Linked DNA regions of Arabidopsis thaliana. The protein of the gene in region 2 interacts with the protein of the main gene of each other region in a biochemical or structural test. Each region holds a gene or a part of one and is shown on either strand. Other genes may lie near its edges. The genes, in order: WOX5, HAM1 and WOX4.

Region 1 (3,560 bases), on a different chromosome or scaffold from region 2:
CTTTATAACATCCATTGTTGGGTTAATCAAATTCGCTTGAGTAATTCTAAATTTCTTTCTCCGGGAATGATCAAAACCTCAACTTTTGATTCCGTTTTATCTCCGACGGAACTTGAGTTTGCTTCTTCTCCAGGAAAACCCCTTTAATTAATCTTCTCTAGGCACTATGGGTTTAACCAAAGTTTGGGCCTTCTCTGTATTATAAAGCCCAATTATATGGGCCTAAAAGACAATGGGTCTGGGTAAAATAATATTAAGGATATTAATCTGTTCGTTTAAAAGAGTTGGTTTTATTCTGATAAGATTGTGCAAGTTTTTTGGTCTAATGGTTGTTGATCAAGACTTAAGTATTTCGAGATGATGTAAATTTTGTAAATTGATAGAGATAAGTTTTAAGTTTGTTTTTTTAACATCTTTTAAGTTTTAAGTTTATCTGATATTTCTAGTATTTCTGTGATGCAAATAGAACTATTCGTTAATGATGTCTTTCTTAAATTATTTTTAAAAAATATAGAAAAATACATTAACAAATCACAACCTTAGTTATATGATGATATACATATACGCATTCCATAACATAGATTCTTATATCAAACAAAATGAGACAACTTTTTGATAAACCATGCATTGGAAAATATCTCATAAACCATGCATCGGATAATATGTCATAATTCAAAATACAACAACATTTTAAAGGCTAAAGCATCTGTTTTTTTTCTTTTGTTATTGTGGTCAATGACTTAAAGAAAGCTTAATCGAAGATCTAATGGCGGTGGATGTTCCATTTCAGCTCCACATGATGAGTATGGAGAAAACGACGTCGTGGTGGTCTCTCGAATATATTCACGGTACTGGTTATTGCCTCTAGCTCTCATTTTGTCCACCTTGGAGTTGGAGTCTTCAAATGAATTCACCGGAAAGAGTTGTAATGTCTCTATCACCTTCTCTTCCTCTTGACAATCTTCTTCGCTTATTTCAAAAACATCTATAATAACACACTATTATCCATTAAATATATAGAAATATCATATAAAACAATAATGATATATAATTATATATATATATATATATATATATATATATAAAGAGACTACCTCTAGTTGATGGTTGATGATGATGATGATCAAAATCAATGGAGATTTTACGACGTTTCTGCCTCTCCCTAGCCTTATGATTCTGAAACCAATAGAAAACATTCTTGCTCTCTATCTTGCCGTAGAAACTGAGCTCCGTAGAGATCTTCTGAATCTGATCAGTTGTTGGAGTTCTAAGACCGGCTCGAAACAGATCAGTCAATATCTTCAACTGCTCCACCGTTGGATTCCATCTCCCGCACTTCGTCCCCGTTCCTCCGTTATTGTTGCCACGTAAGCTTCGACCTTTCACGGAGAAAGACATGTTCAGATGTAAAGTCCTCAACTGTTTTACGTTTTAGGGCCTGTGTATATATCCATATATATAGTAAGATTGTTCATAATAATTTATTAAGTTTTCATCTTTTCGAAAATAAAAAGAGAAATGAATTGATGAAATGTCGGGAGGAGAGGTTTTCGAGTTATGTGTCGTTTTATGATGAGTTGTTTATTACGAAATGCATGCTTTGTTTTTTTTGGGGATTTGGGAGAGACTGATCTTTGCAGATTTGATCGTTTTCTTTATCCTAACCTATCTAGGCTTCTGTTCCATCTATATTTACATATGTTTTTGTGTGTATATATTAGTATATAATTGGATCTCGCATTCATGCCATGGCATGCATAAGTTGTATATCGGAACCAGCGATTGAAACATTGAATTTGTTCTCCTTTAATTTGTGGTGACTCGCACACACTTAAATTGCGTTCTACGTAATTTCTTACTATTCATATAACATGATAAGAATAATCAGAAAGCCTTGGTGGTAATGTACTATCTAGTGTCAATATTTTAACGTTCGATATTGTAACTTCAATGCTTCAACTATTCCAAATTATGACACTAGAAATTTTACATTCACTTTCTTTTTTTTGTATTTGTTTTGAAGTTAGAAGTTCTTTACAAATTGTAGATCTAATCTGTAATCAATAATAAGTTGAAATAGCTAGCAAGTCCTAAACAAAGATTGTATGCAATTACATTATTGAGACGGATGGATGGCCGATATTAGTTTGATATGAATGAAGATGATAAGATTAATTATAAACATCATGACATTGTGTGAACAGATTGTAGTTTTGTCTCTCTTGCACAGAAGATGTGACACTTGAGGAACGTTGGTCGGCAAGTGTAGACAGGAAATTTGAAATTTTATTCTCTTTTATAAGAAAATATAATATTACAAAATCAAATATCTGAATTCTGAATCATAAAAAACTACAAAAAGAAAAGGCATTTAATAGATAGAACCAGAAGGTTCGCCACACACATGTATAATATAAGTCCTACACCAAAATATTTGTAAAAAGCCATTTATTAAGTCACCAAGAACTCCTTCTAGAATGAAGAATGGTTGAAAGATGACTGCAAGATGTAAAAATAATTTTAACCATCAATAAAAGTATAAACTCATAGTGTTTTACTAGCCTCTATATGCTATCACGTCAATTAGATCTGATTTTTGAAATCTGAAAATGAGACAGCAGCAATAGTAACATAAATCATGCATTATACTGTAAATGCTTTGGTCAAAAATTTATTTCTTAGTTAAAATCTAACTGCATTCTAGTATATAACCTGCGACCGAAAAAATATTTCACTTTTAAGCGTACAACTCATACATGCCTCAGTTTTAACAATATACAATCCAGCTCTTATAATTTTGCATAGTCTAGTTGTTTGTACAAGAAACTTATTGATGTCTATATGAACAGTACGTATGACACCAGCAGAAATAGAAAGGAAAAACTTATAATATTCATGTAGTGTGCGTTAAAATGTCTTAATAGTGAGGATTTAGATGAGACATGCACGGGATGCTAAGCAAGACGAAAATGGTCCAAATAATAAAATGACAATGTGAATAAAACCAAACATTGTTTTTATAAACAAAGTACTCTTCACTAGACAACATAACAGTACTTACAAATATCTTTGTCTCTCTCGCATATAAACTGCATCTTGTTTTTAAAATTGATCAATTCGGTGTCAAAGTCAAAGTTCACGTGGCTTATGTTACTTGGAATCATCCCAGTTAATTTACATAACATCTTTGTTTAATTACAAATTTCTTACAGAATATCTCATTACCTACTCTCGAGTCTAACTAAATAAGTAGATTTTTGGATTTAATTCGGTTTAGAGAAACTTTATGACTTAGATTTGTTAGATATATAGAAAAAAGTGGCATGCACCCAGCACCCAATTAGTCATCAATTACTGGTACTGGATGATAAAACAGTTGTGAGTTGTACATTAAAAAGTTAAAGATAGCATGTCGTGGATTTGAGATATCAAAACTCTCGTATTGGATGCCCCCAAACATATCATATACTTTGTTTTTTTGCAATATTCTTTTTTGTTGTTGTGATATATGCTTTTATACAACATTCACTACTTTGCATAGTTTTTTGGGTTGTTTTTTT
Region 2 (5,144 bases):
CTAAGATTATAATATCATGCACCAATGACTTTAGGAGCATGTGATTTCACGAACAAAAGTCGTATTACAATAATGGATATGTATATTTAAAGCTAAAAGCTTAGAAATACATTTAACCCCTACATCTAAAATAAACATTGTACGAAATTAAAGTCCTAACCTTTTTTATGACGGAAAAACAAACTTTTTCATGGCCAAAAAATCCGTTAGGGACCCGAGACGATTAAACAAACATTCAACCTTGGAAGCTCCAAAAACCTAATGATAAATTCAATTAGCTTTCACTTTTTGGTTGTAAATTTTAATACTATATACAACTATTTCATAGAAATGTGTTATTTTGCATGTACCGTGACTATTCATTCACTAGTTCCTAATTACATTCTAATGACTAGATAAAATTGTTTTTTTCTTTCAAAATTGATAAACTAACCTTTCTCAATGTATATGTAATAATGTATGACCTTAACCAGTTAACCCTAACAATGTAACAGGATCTTTACCAGAATTTTCCACAAGTCTATTTTAGTCCTAAGTAGACTCTGAAGATCCTAAAAAACATATCTCTTTAACAATTTCTGTTTTTGGACAAGAGATTTATGCATAAACTCAAAAAGAGCAAAATAAAATCTAACAAAAGGAGATTTTGATTATATATTCTGACTTCCTTAAAATGTTAAAACACAACAGTCTCGAAACTAAGAACATCATTGAACAACATAACAACATTTTAAAATCTGACAAAGAAAAACAGAGAAATTAGCTAAGCGAGAGAGAGATTTGTGGTTTCTTCTTCGTCTAACATTTCCAAGCAGAGACAGTAACAAGTTCTTTCCTTTGCCAACACATGACAAGTGAAGACTGCCTTTTCTCAACGTGAAACCCTCTCACCGGATTTCTCTGCAACAAACACTCCGCCTGAGCTTCCGCCATCTGACTCAAACTCGCCGGAGAAAACCCACATTGTGTAAACAAGATTCTCCACGGTGGAGATCTTTCAATCCAACGGTGTCGTTTCATCAACAGCTTCTCTATCGATGGTTGAACCCAAAACCTCTCGATACTCGAATCGTCCTGGTTCTGATTAGCATCAAGAGACTCAAGCAGAGAAGTGTGGTATTGAAGCGAATGAATCACTGCGTTTGGAAACGGCGCGTCGTTACGGTCACATCCTCTGTCTGAGCAAACGACGATGTTTGGTGATAGTTGTTTAAGGAATCGGAGGATTAACGGAAGGTAACCGGAGGCGACGGAGTTTACTGGAAGATTCACTGCGATTGCTTCTTTTTCCGATGAACGTAGAGAGAGTGGCCAATAAGCTGGGTTTAGAAGAAGCTCTACGCTTAGTAACTCGATTTCGAAAGGAATCTTGACTTCTCCGGCGAATGTTTTGAGATTTTCCTCTGTGAAACGAAGCTCGAACTCGTCGGAGACTGTAGAAGGTGGAGGAGCAAAGACTGTTAATTTCAGAGACGATGCTCTGTTTCTTCTTCTTCCTCCAACTCCGGAAGCGAGTTCTTGCATTAGAGACGACCATTGTCCTCCATATCCAACGTCGAAATCGATAATGTGGATCCGATCAAACCCTGATTCGTTGCAGGACTCAAGAATCGATTGATTCGCTGTGAAGTTAACGAATTGGAGAAACGGCGAGGTTTCGGAGAAGGATCTGTAAGCGGCGATTCGGAGAATCAGATTCTCCGGCGTGATTAACGGTGGTGATGATTCGTTGTGGATGAGTGAGAGGAGAGCTTCAGCGATGTGAGAAGCTGCTCTTTGAAACGGAGACTTGTGGTTACTACTAGTGTTGAGATGGTGATTGAGCCGCGCCAATATCCCTTGCGCGAGAACGGTGTGGTCGCCGTTGTTGTTTCCGGTGGTTCCGATTAGCTCCGCCGCGTTGAACAGCTGCTCGATGATGACTGACTGGTCATCGCCGGCCATTCCCGGCGACGGAACCGGAACCATAGCCACCGCCGTGGAAGAAGAAGACGACGGGAATTGTTGTTGCTGGTTGTTGTGATAAAACGGAAACTGAAACTGATGTTGACGACGAACCGGGTCGTGACCCGGATCCGGATCCGATAAAGGGAAAACGGGTTGATGAAGAGATCCGGAATTAAACCGTTTAGCCGGTGGAGATAACGGAGGATTATAGAACAGGCAATGATTTGAAGGATTGATCAAAGCTTCTGCTGGATTCGTAATCTCTTGAAACGGGAAGTTACACAGAAGATTCGAATTATCACTCACCGGAGCAGACACAGGCCCGGAACCAGACCCGAATCCGAAACCCGGGTCGAAAACACCGAAGGCAGAACCCGGGTCCATGATAAGTCTCAAGATACTCTGCTCTTGACCAGGAGAAGAAGCAGAGAGAACACCGTCAAGATCATCCAAACCCATCTGACTACATTTATTGTTATTGTTATCATCACCGGCGGTTACGGTGGTGTTGGTGACGGTGGTACCACCGCCGCCGTGAGAGGAAGACAGCGTGGTGGTGGTAGAAGAATAAGAAGCGAGAGGACTAGGACTTCTTAGAGCGTCGAGAACAGACGTCGGCTCCGGTAAAAAACCACCGACAACATAACCAAGATCTTCTTGTTTTGCTTCGGTTTTGTCTTGATTGGACCAGATTTTCTGAGAATCTGAATAGAAAGAAGAAGAAGATAAACCAAACACCCCCTCCCCTTGAAACCTTTCAAAGGATAAGGGCATCGCCTCCTCAACAACACAGAGTAACTGTAAAAACAAAAAACCCAGAAAAAAATAACCCTAGAGAGAGAGAGAGAGAGAGATCTCAAGAACAGAACAGAAAGACAACAAAAGAAGAGAGAGAGAGGTTATGTCTCAGAGTGGTTAATGTACGGAAGAAAGAAACACATGCAAAGCTCAAAACTTGTAATTGGCGCCCCAACTTTCTTTAATTTTTTCTTCTTTCTCTAAAATCACTTTCTTTCTTTTTTCTTTCTCTGTAGCTGTTATATGGATGCGTGCAATATATAAAAAGTGGTCTTCATCAATGCTCTATCTCTCTCTCTCTCTCTAAATCTTTTGGTTTTTGTAATAAGGAATTTTCATTTCTTTTTTTTCTTTCTGGTTTCTCGTCCTCTATGTGTGGCTTATGTCTGTAGATGTACTTATCTACATATGTACCGTGTTCTTGTGCCATCATTGTCGAGTCTCTTCGCAAATCCAGCGCGTGACTCTACTCTCCCCCTACAACTTAATTTGTCTTACTCTTTCAATTTTGGCCGTAAGTTGCTTCTTCTATAGTACTATTATAGAGGTTTGTGTACGAGCTAATTCTATCTACTTGTAAATTTTGAAACAACAAAGTACTACTAGTTGCTTATCATTTTTGTGTACAACGAATTTAGTGGTCTTGCGATGATGTCTATAACTGGATAATCCCTCTATAACAACATTTCCTCAAAAGGAACTAAAACATGTTTTTGCCATTTTTATTTTTATTGGTTGATTTTTCTTTATCTTCGAAAAATCTAAAACAAATTCTTCCAACATACCATTGGAAAATAATACAATAACGGAAGGGAAAATAAAAAAAAAGAATTTCACCTCTCAGTTTAAATAATTTCCCGTTTTCACGTACTTTATTTTCGAATACTTTCTCCAAAATAATGAAAGAAAGGGTCACTGATCTGAAACAGTGTTTTTTGAAAGAAAAAAAAATCTTACATATGCCGAGGAAACAGAGCAAAAAGACGAAACTGACGCAGATGGTTCATTACTAATATTTACTTTAATTCCCAATTTTACCCTTAAGATTCGAGGAAGACACTGCAAAAGAGAGAAGGACAATATAGTAATTAGAGGGGAAACAAGTCTGGCAGGTGGCTTTGGGCCTGGTTTTCGAAACTGAATCTGACGGACCGGTGCTCTATTTGAGTGTCTCTCTGGTGTGGCTTTTTGAAGATTTTTTGAAAACATCGAGACCAAAATCTTTCAACGGCTGAGATGCTTTGTCTCACTTCAAATCCATTGGCTCTAAATTATGTTGGAAGTATTCTTCCTTTTTCTTTAATTAGTCTTAACTACAAAATCTAAGATGGTGGTGGTGTCGATTACTTTAACTCGTGATTTAAAAACTAAACTCTTTTTTGCAAAGAACTTAAAGTTGTTAATCATAACATGTGTTAGTTAAATAACTAACACTATTTTATTCGAATTTATTATTAGGACCTTTTTTTGTTCATGGAATTTATTTTCAAAACTACATTATATTCATATATATATATATATATATATGTATTAAAGTTTTTGAAGAAAATACTAGTATTGTTTTGTGTGAAAGCATCTCGAAACATTTCCACTATTTTGTTAAAAACCTAAACTATAAGTTTATATTATTTGAATCGCACTTTGATATATTAATTTTGGTCAATGAAAATGACATTGCTATGTCAAATTTTTCACTCTGCTATTTGTTTTAAAACAAATGTTCATTTAAATATTAAGTAGTTAATGTACATTTTGTCCATTCTTAATAAACTACTTACATTAGGTATACAATATTAAAACAGTACTAAACACCGGTGTTGGAAACCAAACTTATGTTAAAATTATAAAACAATTTTTTCCTTGTCAACACAAATCAAATTAATCGCACGGTCCCAATATGTTGTTCACAATTTCTAAGAAAATTCGTGGTAATGAAACACCTCGATGACATAACATGGATCACGCTAACATATTTGTTTATTCTATATCTAATTCACTACTACATCTACAACCATAACAAGCACACAACAATAATATAATAGCATTACCAATAAATCAAGTGGTTATGTATGTATTTAACAACAATAAGTGGAGTAAATGAAAATCAAACAAGGAGATGGGCAGCTGGATTTCCAAGACAAGATTGAAATTCTTGGTTGCTTGTGTATGAATGTAAAGTAGACATGCTTATTATGTTATTATTATGTATCAGTATTGCCTTGAGTTAACCATATATTTACGTTCTTAAACCAGAAAGAAAAAAACAGATTATTATTATTATTATTTGAGCATTGTCATTATGAGAGACATGGTTTATTTCCCAAGACAAATCACAAACCTCCATGTGAGTTTCCACCACTATTGTGTCTCTGTCCTAAAACAAAATGTGTATCGCATTA
Region 3 (3,877 bases), on a different chromosome or scaffold from region 2:
GTTTTATCCTAAGTAAATAAGTAGATAAATATTTTTTATTATTTTTAAAATATATTAAAAGGTTAAAATTGTCAGTATACATTATTTTTTAAAAATGTGAAATTTCTATAAAAAAATCCATCTTCATAGGATAAAGATGTTATTAATTTTAGCTATTAGTCATGATCAACCTACACTGGTACTTCTATATTTCCTCCATGATATCAATTTTTATGTTTTAACCAGTGATATGAACTGTGACTTTCCACCTTCATAACTTTGATATCCATATATATTAGTGTAAGTTTCGTACTGTACATATACTTGCATCATAACTGGATTAGCCGAGACTAAATAATTTTGACTATTCTTCACAGTTCATACTCAAGGTCTCTGTTCTTTGTAATTCTAGACTACATATCAAATAAAAAGATGATGATATATTAGTCAAAACTCAAAAGTAATTAGAAGAAAAAACTTTGTAATTCCGGAATATCATACGTTACTACTTTTCATTAGTAAAATACCCAAATTACTTGGGAAATTGAGGTTCTGCAGTTCCCGATGTACAAGAGAATAACAATACAATACACTGATCTAAAGTGAATGGGACGCTTGACATTGCCAAACCAAACCATGCTTTTGTATCAATATCTAATAAACATATAAGCTTAAATTTATAATGATGTATTATTATCAAAATAAACAATGATAATATAACATTAAGATATTTCTAGCCTTTTCTTTTCCGCATAAAAGTCTGTCCTGGCTCATTATAAACTACCACTAATTTAGGCAAAATCCGTATCTTAACAAAAGTAATAAAAGCAATTTCGAGTATTGGGATTGGAAGATACCTTTTCCCCTTATTCATTCTTCTTCTCATTCTTCTTTTCTCTAAATAAAGTAGTTGAGACTTGAGAGCCACCGAAAAGCATTCGACATCCTATCATTAAAGCTAACTTTTTTCAGTGTTTTATTTCTAAAATAATTTCTTAAAATAAAGAAAGGTGAGAGAGAAATTATGTCCCTATACAACTAGTAGAATGAAAGATTGTCAAGCTTTGGTTTGGGATTTTTCTAATAAATCACATGCATTTGTTAGAATTTGATCCCAAAAAAAAAAAATTCAAACCTTTTTCCTGTAAAAGCAAACCTATTGGCTCGTAGGTCAATGTCAATCTCAATGAATAGTAAAGTCTTTTGATATCACGTATCTATAACATATTATTTTTAGCGTGGTTCATGTCCCTCAACATTCTGCCTAAATTATAGGATCTCAAGACATAGTACTATAGACTACAACTACAAGTAGAGGAAAATTTTATAAGAGAGATAAATTATGCGGTATTCACGCATGACATGCGTAAGCATGAAACTAAAATTTGGTTGATACATTACTATGCCGAATTTAAAGTAGTGCTCCATGCAGACATGAACATATCAGATATCACACGTACGCATGTATTACGTGTATGTAGAGACACACGTACGCATATCTATATTCACACAATGAGATTTCACTTTCTCAAACAAAGATCACTGTCTTCAATTAGTTTCAAATTTGTTCTTTACCTATTGCTTTTACATTTCTGAGTGTATATATTTACAATAAGGACAAGGAGATTTTAAATGATAAAAGTCAACCATATCCCATCATTTGGTCTTTGGTTTCCCGACGTCCCACTTTTGTAAAAATCATCTGTTCATTTTCCATTCTTTTTCTTTTTCCTACCCAACTGGATATCACCAATGATATCATTATACACTAACACTATCATTTCACACTTATCTTCCTCTATATATACATAGCTTAAGTCTTGTAACGAGAAAGGCATGCATAGCATTTGCTAGTTTTAACATATAGCAATGAAGGTTCATGAGTTTTCGAATGGGTTTTCTTCATCGTGGGATCAACATGACTCGACATCATCCCTTAGCCTAAGCTGCAAACGCCTCCGTCCTCTCGCCCCTAAGCTCTCCGGCAGCCCTCCCTCCCCTCCTTCTTCTTCCTCCGGCGTCACTTCAGCCACTTTTGACCTTAAAAACTTCATTAGACCCGATCAAACCGGTCCGACAAAATTTGAACACAAACGAGACCCTCCTCATCAAGTCAGTTCCATTATTGTACTTCGTACATTTTACATCGTTTCTTTCGTTTGAAAAAAGAAGAAGAATTCACTCTAGAAGAATTTTGATAATTGCGGCATACCTAATACTTTGACATTTATAAATTATAACGACTGGAGTGGTTCCTTTTATTATTAATTTTATTTATTTATTTTAATGTATGATTCCTAACAAATGTAATGAAATAATGTGTGGGTTCAGTTGGAGACGCACCCGGGAGGGACAAGGTGGAACCCGACTCAAGAACAGATAGGGATACTTGAGATGTTGTACAAAGGTGGAATGCGTACTCCTAATGCTCAACAGATTGAGCATATCACATTGCAACTCGGTAAGTACGGGAAAATCGAAGGGAAAAATGTGTTCTATTGGTTCCAGAACCACAAAGCCCGCGAGAGACAGAAGCAGAAGAGGAACAACCTCATCAGCCTAAGTTGCCAAAGCAGCTTCACGACCACTGGTGTCTTTAATCCGAGTGTAACTATGAAGACAAGAACATCATCGTCACTAGACATTATGGTAGGAATTTAAGGATTTTGTATAGTTTTGTGGTTTTGATCAACTATATTTAAGGATAATTTTTATGATTGTGTAGAGAGAACCAATGGTGGAGAAGGAGGAGTTAGTGGAAGAGAATGAGTACAAGAGGACATGTAGGAGCTGGGGATTTGAGAACTTGGAGATAGAGAACAGGAGAAACAAAAATAGTAGTACTATGGCAACTACTTTTAATAAAATCATTGACAATGTAACCCTCGAGCTTTTTCCTCTCCATCCTGAAGGGAGATGAAGTCATGAAGGTGAGGCAGAAAATTGTGGAATTCTTATGTAGATCTGGTTTAGGTTCAGAGGAATCAATTGGTATCTAGAAATTCAAAATAAAAATAAAAATAGGAATAAGTCTCTAAAACTACAAAATCTACTTAAGAATTCCCTTATTAATCTGCGAGTTTGATGTATCCTATGTAGATTATTTTTGCGATGTAATCTTAATTATGAATGCTCAGTTTAGCTCATCTTTTTTTCGCGTTTATTCTTGACAAATTCACTAGTGATCAGTTGTACTCTCTTCTGATTTGGCCATCTAAGTATTTCTCTAGATCGTTGGTATGTAGGAATGTTTCATTTAGAGAAATTTCTGAATAAAGACACATTTGATGTTGTTAAAATAATATCTCTGTCTTAATTCCTACGTACGTACAAGAGCAAGAAGTTAAAAGGAAATAATAATAGCATTTCCCGTTGAAAAGGGGGTAGACCTAGTATATTTCTATATAAACAAACATTGAAATCTAAAACTTTTTGTACTGTTATATACTTATATTAAAACTCTTAGTAAAACAGGTGACTCAATAATATTTATATTAATTTTTTATTTTTGATAAATATATACTAAATAAGTTTATGAGATGATAACAAGAAGAATCTTTTCAAGAATTTGATATTTCCAATGGAATGTGTACAAAGACATCAATATATGTAAGCTGTGGTGTGTATGTGGTTAGTTGTTTGTCTGATGCTTTATTGACTCTCGCAAGTGGTTGTTTTGTATTTTGGTTGAAACAAAGAGAGAGTTTTGCTTTTTAGGTTAAAAGTTGAAATGGCATTATATGAGACACACTCACTGAAGTCCATGCACTCGCTTTCCCGCTACATTGCATGCTAGCTAGCTGTTTCTATACATACGCAGATATATGTAGCTCTTCTATATTTTCGCACTTAATTATTGTAAGTGACATTCTTCTTTTCATTTTGGTTATATGCCGAT

The links.
Region 1: the proteins of HAM1 (region 2) and WOX5 form a complex in vitro, tested with the Arabidopsis thaliana proteins (one study listed by BioGRID).
Region 3: the proteins of HAM1 (region 2) and WOX4 form a complex in vitro, tested with the Arabidopsis thaliana proteins (one study listed by BioGRID).

What each region holds. Positions count from the first base shown.
Region 1 is NC_003074.8:3,525,444-3,529,003, reverse strand, and holds WOX5 (WUSCHEL related homeobox 5), read right to left. Parts: upstream 1,725-3,560; 5' UTR 1,399-1,724; coding exon 1,095-1,398; intron 986-1,094; coding exon 741-985; 3' UTR 564-740; downstream 1-563. Other genes in the region: MEE34 (Mov34/MPN/PAD-1 family protein), read right to left, coding at 1-15. UniProt on the Arabidopsis thaliana protein: Transcription factor, which may be involved in the specification and maintenance of the stem cells (QC cells) in the root apical meristem (RAM).
Region 2 is NC_003071.7:18,617,312-18,622,455, forward strand, and holds HAM1 (GRAS family transcription factor), read right to left. Parts: upstream 3,141-5,144; 5' UTR 2,722-3,140; coding exon 799-2,721; 3' UTR 551-798; downstream 1-550. UniProt on the Arabidopsis thaliana protein: Probable transcription factor involved in plant development.
Region 3 is NC_003070.9:17,235,925-17,239,801, reverse strand, and holds WOX4 (WUSCHEL related homeobox 4), read left to right. Parts: upstream 1-1,616; 5' UTR 1,617-1,848; coding exon 1,849-2,091; intron 2,092-2,310; coding exon 2,311-2,628; coding exon of another isoform or gene 2,629-2,640; exon of another isoform or gene 2,641-2,704; coding exon 2,705-2,899; 3' UTR 2,900-3,278; downstream 3,279-3,877. UniProt on the Arabidopsis thaliana protein: Promotes differentiation and/or maintenance of the vascular procambium, the initial cells of the developing vasculature.